Linked DNA regions of Arabidopsis thaliana. The protein of the gene in region 2 purifies or fractionates together with the protein of the main gene of each other region. This does not show direct contact. Each region holds a gene or a part of one and is shown on either strand. Other genes may lie near its edges. The genes, in order: EMB1241 and RSR4.

Evidence for each region.
Region 1: the proteins of RSR4 (region 2) and EMB1241 fractionate together in Arabidopsis thaliana (co-fractionation; one large-scale study listed by BioGRID). This does not show direct contact.

What each region holds. Positions count from the first base shown.
Region 1 is NC_003076.8:5,838,763-5,844,085, reverse strand, and holds EMB1241 (Co-chaperone GrpE family protein), read left to right. Parts: upstream 1-2,227; 5' UTR 2,228-2,446; coding exon 2,447-2,698; intron 2,699-3,260; coding exon 3,261-3,776; intron 3,777-4,313; coding exon 4,314-4,526; 3' UTR 4,527-4,747; downstream 4,748-5,323.
Region 2 is NC_003076.8:171,289-175,480, forward strand, and holds RSR4 (Aldolase-type TIM barrel family protein), read right to left. Parts: upstream 2,376-4,192; 5' UTR 2,218-2,375; coding exon 1,288-2,217; 3' UTR 601-1,287; downstream 1-600. Other genes in the region: AT5G01420 (Glutaredoxin family protein), read right to left, coding at 3,598-4,192. UniProt on the Arabidopsis thaliana protein: Catalyzes the formation of pyridoxal 5'-phosphate from ribose 5-phosphate (RBP), glyceraldehyde 3-phosphate (G3P) and ammonia. The ammonia is provided by PDX2.

The DNA.
Region 1 (5,323 bases), 5.7 Mb from region 2:
GAAAATTCATCCGAAAATGTTGACAATTGAAAATGTTAGACTGTTTTATTTTCTAAGGAATGCATAAATTTGTTAACTTATCGTCGCATTATGTGTATGATTGATACCACAGTAGAACTCGTTCGTTTGAATATTTTTTTAAGTTTGTGTAATCTTTCTTTGTAAGCGAAGAGTTTTGGACGAATAATTTGAGACAAACTTGACTACGAGAAAACTAGCTGAGGGTAGGATTTGAACCCAAAACTTGGTCATAATCCTTTTTGAGTTCCCAAAATTCACTGATAGTGTTAAGCGGAATCGTTCATTCAAAATATATACTATATGTAGGCTATTTGGGAATATCTTATACACTTTTTTGTAAGAAAATTAGACATATTTATCTATTGTTTTTAAAAAAAAATTGTAAAAAAACGAGATCTAAGTTTATTGTCAAGTTAAACAAATAGAGAATTACGGGACGATAAAAAGAAGGAAACTAAATGATTAGAGACTTTATTTTTATTTTTCTCAATCGACGTGATGACCAATTTGATACAGACTCATAATCTATATGATATACCCAGGTGGAAGACCCATGCGTTGCATGCGTTAGAATTAATATAATAAAATACAACCTGTTGTTTAGCTGTTTCTAATTAATATTGAAATATGTTTAGCTGTTGAAAACATATAGAGGTTACCTTTTATTTTTCTCTAACTTATTCATCTCATCTAGTTTATCCAACTCTTTTTTATTATTCAGCTTATCTTTATTCAACTTATCAGTACTCATTTTATTCAGCTAGTTCAATTTGTTAATCACCATTGGAAACTTTTTAGGTGTTTATTTTTAGAAAATACTCTTCATTAAATCTCAAAAGTTCATAAAGTTTTTGGTGTAAACTACTAATTGGAGATTCGATCTAATGTTTTATAAAGTATTTTATATGGTTTAATAAGATTTTAGAAGGTATTTAAAAATGTTTTACAAGGTATTGTTTTACAAGGTATTTATAAGTTATTTTTATACTGTATTTATAAAATATTTATAAGTTTTTACACACATATAAAAGTAGTTTGTATACTTTAATAAAGTTACACACATATTTGAATAAACCTCATATTCTTAGGAGTACTTTTAATAAACAATTAGAAATATAATATTTTTGAAAAGTGGTATTCGAAAAGATGCTTTTGAAATTCTTCCTTTATTTAGCTTCCAATTCTAAACATTTGAACTAAACTATTTGATATTCAATTTTAAAAGCTTATATGGATTGTCACCTCCAAACATATGCTAGATATTTACTTGAGAATTTTTGATAAACATCTACTTACAAAATTTTAACTAAAATAATATATTGAGAAATTGGAAAATGAAAAAGTAAAATGGTCGAAGAAGAATATCTTTTATGATATGTTAGCCTCAACAACGGGTGATATTTAATAATTAGTTTAAAACTTTAGTCACTTTGTAGTTAATACTTCTGATTTAGGATTAAGGTCCGTTGCACCCACTACTTCTGACAAAACTAAGTGTGCGGACTTAGAAAATAGATTAAACATGGATGGTCTCCTATCTCTTTGTTGTCAACCCAAACCGGCAAACCCTGATATTCTCTTATTACTTTTCATCTATAACATATTGAGTACTAGTACTTGACCAAAACAAACATTTAACTATATAGTACATCTCTTTGGGCTTAAGGAAACCCTTTTGTAAATAAAGCCTAAGCCCAAATTGTAGAACTAGTTATAGTCAATAACACAAAATTGCTTCTAAAAATTTCCCAAATCTCAAGTCTTATTATGTTATTTTCAACAACGATATGCATGAGATCATGATACAATTTGAATCTGCAATAACAAAACTGATACAAATTGGTAAAAACATATTTTATTGTCGAAAATGTTTGAAACATTCAGATCCAAAAGAAAGGCAAGGCGAAATTGATACAACTACAAATCATTCAAATATTCTTATGTCAGAACAACAGTTCCTGGATAAATTTGCTCCCACTTGAAGAAAAGTGTAGTCATCGCTAGAGAAGATGAAGAGATTCGTGATGAAGTGGACTTGGAAAAAGAGTTGAACCATAAGAGTGGAAGACAACTTACAAAGAGTTTGGAGACATCATACCAGGAATCAGTTAGATCATTGGCATAGAACATCGAACAGCCTTCTCGAGTATTAATTTACAGAGATTTTATTGTATTATATAAAATATTCACAAAACTGTAGAAGTTTCAAGAAAATCTAAATCCGACGGTTGAAAAACTCCCTACGTAATCTCTGTTGAACAACAACGGTCCGATCAACATAGTAAAAACGAAAAGTAAATCCAACGGTTAAAAAAACGAAACAAAACAAAAGATCCGACGAGGAAGAGTAGAACCGTTTGCCCTCTCTCTCTCTATCTTCCTTATCTCTCTCCGCCACTCTCCTTCTCTTTCTCCGAACTCTTCGATGGCCGGTCTACTCAAAACGCCGTCTTTACATCTCACACCAACTCTTCTTCATGCTCCTTCTGTACCCTTTAAGCCCTTTTGCGTATCTTTCGCCGGAGGAAGAAACGTTAGCGTCTCACTCTCTCGCCGAGCTTCTCTCCGGTCTGTCTCTAGCGGCTATCCTCTCCGCTTACTAAACCTCGTACCCTTTGCTTCGGGAGAAGCTGAGACGACGGAGACGGAGGTGGAATCGAACGAACCCGAAGTTCAGGTTTTTCGATTTCGGCTCACTTCTGTTCAACTTTCTTGGGGGTTATTTCATTGTTAGTTCGGTGATTAGGGTTTCGAATTTGGGATATGGTAATTTAGAATTGCTTGTTGTTTGCTTAAATTTTTAAGCTTTATTGATTATATTACCCTCTGAAGGAACGTTCACATGAATTAGAGCAATGAATAGGATTGTATTCAGTCTATTCAGGAGTCAAATGGTGAATGCTAATGTTTCTTAGGATATACCAAATCCGATGAATGACAGATTTCATATTCTTGTGGTATGGTGTGTTCCCAAAATGAAGGAGTTTCACTAGTAGTTTAAGACCATGGTGTGTATGTACTATCCAAATCGAATTTTGATTTCGTGATTCTTGTATGGGGGCCACAGAATGTTCTGAAGCTTTTTTGGTGTTAATCTGATTGTTTAGGAGGTCATTAAAAAATTGTGTCGTTAGTGTGTGTTCTGTCTCAGCTTTTATCAGGAATAGATAGGAAACGTCTATGTAAACTGGATTGCTCTTTTTCTGATTTTTTGTTTCACTTCTGAAATCATGGAGCAGGAGACGGATGGTGCTGTTGATGTCGAGAATGAAAATGCCAGTGCTGAGGAGGGTGAAGCTGAGGAAGAAGAAGCAGCTGTTATCACAGCGTTGCTGAAATCCTATAAAGAAGCTTTAGCAGACAACAACGAGGGGAAGATTGCTGAGATAGAAGCATCTTTAAAGTCCATAGAAGATGAAAAATTTCTGCTTGCGGATAAAGTAGCGTCTTTATCCAATGAGTTATCGGTGGAGAGGGATCGGCTTATAAGAATCAGTGCAGATTTCGACAACTTCAGGAAGAGGACTGAGAGGGAAAGGCTAAACCTTGTTTCAAATGCTCAAGGAGAGGTTGTAGAGAATCTTTTGGCTGTTTTGGATAATTTCGAGAGAGCTAAATCCCAAATTAAGGTGGAGACTGAGGGAGAAGAGAAAGTCACTAATAGCTATCAGAGCATATACAAACAGTTTGTAGAAATTCTGGGATCACTTGGTGTTATCCATGTGGAGACAGTCGGCAAGCAGTTTGATCCAATGGTTAGTTACTATGATATCTTTTCTTCTTTCCGGAGATCGACAACTGTATTTTTGTTGCTCAGCTTGCTGGTGGTTTTAATTTTTAACTATGGACGTGATCTTTAAAATCAAAGTTGTTTTGGAAGTTAGGATAATTCGTTGCTATAGGGCTGCCGGAATAATCTTGAGCAGAACGTAGATATGGTTGTTACTTTGAAAGTTAGCTACATCAGATGGATGGAACAAATTATGCTGAATGATACTTTTGTGATGCAAATGATCAATAAATCTTTGAGGTTTAGGATCACTTATCTCAGTTAGATGCCTTTTGGTTATCGCAAAGCTTGAAATACATAACCACTTATGCGTCTAGTCCTAAGCATGAATCTGCTAAAGTTTTGGAGACTTTAGATGTAAGATGTGGTTGTTACTTTTGCAAGTTGGGTTTAAATGACAATGAGTTGGTAGATATCCTTTTGTTTGTTGGTCTTTTCAAGTCCCTAACAGCTGACATCTCTTTTTTATCCTTTTGCTTTTCTCGTTGTTGTGTGAAAAAAGCTACATGAGGCAATAATGAGAGAAGACTCTGCGGAATACGAAGAGGGTATAGTACTAGAAGAATACAGGAAAGGTTTCTTGCTAGGTGAAAGGCTTTTACGTCCTTCAATGGTGAAAGTATCAGCTGGACCTGGACCAGAAAAGCCCCTTGAAGCTGAAGGAGAAGAAGCCACAGCACAAGGAAGCGCAGAAGAAGAATCATCTTCATCTTGAAATTGAAGATGATCAAGACTCAGCAGTTTTGTGTGCGTGTGTGTGAGAGAGATACAGAGATAAAAGAGGGAGAGGTCTGTTTTACCATTATTGTTGTTATTGTTATTGATACGTTATATCATTTCTACAGAGTCTAGAAGTAATATAGATCGACATTTTTAATGAATTCTTAAGTATTCAATCCGAAAGGGAATGCCATAATTGATTTTTTTTCATCTCTCTATACACAGCTAGAAAATTCGGAAGATTCAGAGAAAATGTTGATAATTGGAAGTTTGGAACAAACAGAAAGTCAATACAGTAAATTGTATTTGAGTACTATGGCCTACGAGTCCAAATTATTGTCCAAGTTTTCTTCTTTTGGTTAGGGTTCTTTGGGTACTTAAATATCTTAAAGAGGAGTTGTCCATTTTGTGTAAAGAAATGTTAGGGCCATGTATGTTGGGTATCTTGGATTGGATTTTTTTTTCTTCTTTCTTTTGTTATTTTTTGGATATTTCTAGTAACGTTGGGATCCATGCATAATGCATTAAACCGGGTAATAGAATAAATAGTGTCATACAGTGAAAGTGTGAAACAATCAATAGTAAATTTTATCCTCAATGATGATAATATATCACATAATTTTTGGATCGGATACGAGGTGTAATCGGCCGGTCCATCTTTAGTCTCCTAGGACAATGCATGTCTTGTGTGAACGTACAAGTACAAATGTTGATTTGCGGTTCTGTTCCGGTTTTTGGTTATCAGATTTCAATTTTTGGAGAAACGTGTTAACCAGAAGCGAACCGAATATA
Region 2 (4,192 bases):
AATAGTTACACTACGTCGTTTGGATAAAGAAAGAAATTGTGTTATGGTCCCTCATATTTGATAGTATATTATATAAGTCTCATATAGTTAGTGAATTGATTAAATAGGCCAATGTGCAGTAATAATGGGCCGATGTGGGCCTATTTCGATTGATATTTAAATTGTATCCGTGTTTCTGGTCTTACCGGAGTCTTTTTGGACAAAATGCGAGTGATGTGCAATCAAATCACATTTACAATTTGGTTAAGTTTTGTTTGATTTTGGTTGATCTCGGTTAACAAAATTAACCTGTTAGTAGTGAGAACCTTTTGAACTTTGAAGTAATGCTCTTTGGAGAAATTGGATCCGGCAGAGCCAAGAGCTTAGAGGCTGAAGTCAAGGGATATATACTCGTATCCCTAAGTCATGGTGTCGTGTAAGACCTTCAAGAACTCGATTTTGAACAAAAGAGCTCTATGGATTCCGATGATCGTATGCTACTACCGCGCATGAGATCTGAAATCCCATAGCTAGAAGAGCCCCATGGATTTTCAAAGCTAGAAGAGTGAGTCCCATGGATTTTCAAAGCTAGAGGACTCTTATGGATTTTAAAAGCTAGAAGAGTCCCATGAACTCTTCTCCTTTACTAATCACACATTAACATAGCATTTCATAAAAACCAATTTACAATGCAAACATAGCTGCAAAGAACCCCCCATAAACCATAATCCACACATCATGAAATCGATGATTAGTACTCGTTAACAACAAAGAAAACTCAACTCATATTATCTTCCTTTGTTAGGTTGACAGCTATGCCTGAAATCACAAATTTAAAATAAGAACTAGAGGCTATGTGAATCTAATCCAGGACAGTTCTTCAAAACCAAATCCAATACTCAAAGTCTCAAACATCTACAGAGCTCAGTACCAGTGTACGAATTCCCAAATTAAACAAGTTCATCCTTTGTTTATCAACCTGATACTACTAAGTACTAATAGGCCTGTCTGAAATGTAATTGAACAACAAGCTCAATGGTCAATACCAATGGATCGAAGAATATATCAGATTCAAAACCAACTGATCGATCAAGAGAGTAGTACATTATTATAACTGACAAACTTGTTCTTGCAAAGGGATTACGAGTTACAATAACAAAAGACTATCAAAGATTATAAGGAAAACACAAAGGATACAAACTACCAACAATATCATCATCTTCTTCTTTTCAAAGAGATTACTGCAAAATGGTCTGAGAAAATTCTGAAACCATTTCGTCTGAGATATTTTACCTTTTATTTCTTTGATCACTCGGAGCGATTAGCGAACCTCTCAACCTTCTCATCGTTGAGATTGATCCCAACCATGGCTTCTCCAAGCCCACAGCTCACCTCCACAAGCATCTCAGGGTCACTGTAATGAGTCACAGCCTGAACAATGGCACGTGCACGACGAGCTGGGTCACCGCTCTTGAAGATACCAGAACCAACAAAGACACCATCACATCCAAGCTGCATCATGAGAGCTGCATCAGCCGGAGTAGCCACTCCACCGGCGGCGAATTGGACTACAGGAAGACGACCAAGCTGCTTAGTCTGCATCACGAGATCGTACGGAGCGGCTAATTTCTTAGCGAAAGTGAAAACCTCATCATCATCCATGTTTCGCAAAACCCTAATGTCACCATTAACAGACCTCACATGCCTCACAGCTTCAATAATGTTACCGGTTCCAGCTTCACCTTTGGTCCTAATCATCGCCGCACCTTCACGGATCCTCCTCAGAGCCTCGCCGAGATTCCGGCAACCGCAAACGAACGGGATCCGGAAATTATGCTTGTTGATGTGATGATCTTCATCAGCAAGAGTCAAAACCTCGCTCTCATCGATGTAATCGATTCCAATTGCTTCAAGGATCTGAGCTTCAACGAAATGACCAATCCTAGCCTTAGCCATCACCGGAATCGTAACGGCTTGTTTGATTTCTTTAATCATTTGTGGATCGCTCATACGAGCGACGCCTCCTTGAGCGCGGATATCAGCAGGAACACGCTCCAAAGCCATGACGGCGCAAGCACCAGCCTCCTCGGCGATACGAGCTTGCTCGGCGTTGACGACATCCATGATAACACCACCACGGAGCATCTGAGCCAAACCGACCTTCACGGAGAAGGGAGATTTCTTCGCCTCCGTTATCGCACCGTTACCGTACACCGCCACAACGCCGGTTCCTTCCATTATCGGAGATTGAAGAGAAATTTGTGTGGAGAAAATGGAAGAGAGATTTGGGAATGGTGAAGCGATTTCTGGCCGGTCCTCGTTTATCTATGGATCGGCTTTATAGTGAGAGTTTGTGGCGGTGTGAATAAAAGCTAAAATAATAAAATAGATGTTTTTCTCTATTTTTATTAATTAAATAGAAACTCCTTAATTATTGAATTTTTAATTTTTATTTGGGAAAGTGTGGGATTTTGTTGTGATCGGACGGTCAAGATTAAAACACAATTTCGATTTTTCGATTAACACATGTTTAGTGGACTGCATTTTAAGATTTTAGCCAACTAAACTAGAGGTTTTGACAAGAAAAAATGAGTCGTCCGGAATTGGATTATAAAAGTGTTAAATGCATTGTTAATGATGTTTTAAAACGTTTTCACAATTTATTTTTTCTTATTTTAAATAGATTTTAGGGAAAAAATTTTGGAAAAAAATCTTCTGACACAAAGAAATGTAACTGGACCTCATAGAATCCACGACTGTCGCTCTAGTCCGCATTAATTGTTGCATAAAAGACAAGGAGAAAAAATGTTAGCAGAAAATGAATTGCACGCTTTTGGAAAAAATGTTATGGAAAGCATCATTTTCTTCATAACAAACATCTTTATATTTCTTTATCAAACAATTTACAACCAATCGTTTTGGAATGGGATTTTTAAGATACTACATTTGGGAGTAGGAGAAATTCATTTTTATACAATAGTACGTTAAGTTTTATAATCCTAGAAAAAAAAATTTGAAATAAAGGAAAAAATCTCTTAAAAAGAAAATCTAAAAATAGCAGTTTGTGATGATAAAAGTAAATAGAGAAATAGGCGGCTGTGGTTGAAAAGGAAGGCCCGCCTCTCCTTTGCAATCAGTAGATTTGTCCACTCAGCCGACCCTGGCGGCCCAACTTGCTCTTTTGACTACTTCACTGTAACTATACCATTCAGATATTTAAGTATTTGGCAATTCATCGAATTAGTGAATACGTTTTGTTAAGTGGTTGATCGATGATTAAATCAAATAATAAGGGTAAATTCTCAAATAAATGTAGTTTATGGATGACAATCTTAGTGGATGTTGCAAAAATTTTGCTACTAACACCGGTATGTTAATCTTTATACACATCATATATAATTATAAACATTAACAAATGCTATAAATTTAGTGCAATTCGTGTCAATAATTCAAACTCTTTTTTAAGGCAATAATAACTTGAGATTTGTGTAGAAACAACCATATGATATAACTGATGACCATATTTATTTTCTGTATAAAAAAATCGTTACAATACTAAGAAAAATAATAAACGAATAATGTAATTTGATATATATAGACCAAACAAAAAAAATGGTATTAGGAGCAACCAACGCACACAATTAACCCATTCTCATTACATATCAAACACTGAATTCTTGATCCATCACCAGAGATAATCCGGCGACTACCTCTGCATCCATCACACATCAAAAACCTAAAACCATCGCACCGCCGGCAACGTTCATCTCCGGTGATTGGAATGCCCTCAAAGAGAATCTTAAACTTCCCTTGCTCGTGCAGTCCCAACACTCTCTGAGCTCCACCGATACACCTTCCTTTTACGAACAGAACCGGAGGCAACACCTCTGTTTCCGCCGCTGAGATTCGTCGGAGCTCTTCTCTATACTCTCTATGCATCGACACATCTCTCTCGTAGTACTTAACCTTAAAACTATCCAGCAGAAATCGGATCATGTTGCAATCGTCGAACGTTTTTCTGATTCCTCGAAGAGTCGTTGTGTAGAAAACAACGGATTCCTCTCCTCCCGGAGGACACCGTTCCTCGAATTCCAACAACGGATCCATAAGGGTATTTCCGTCTTTTCCAATGTCTTCTTCTCCGATGACTTCTTCCCTGATCGCATTTACAATCTGAAGGGCATTTCCATCATCTTTGTGAAGAACGACGACA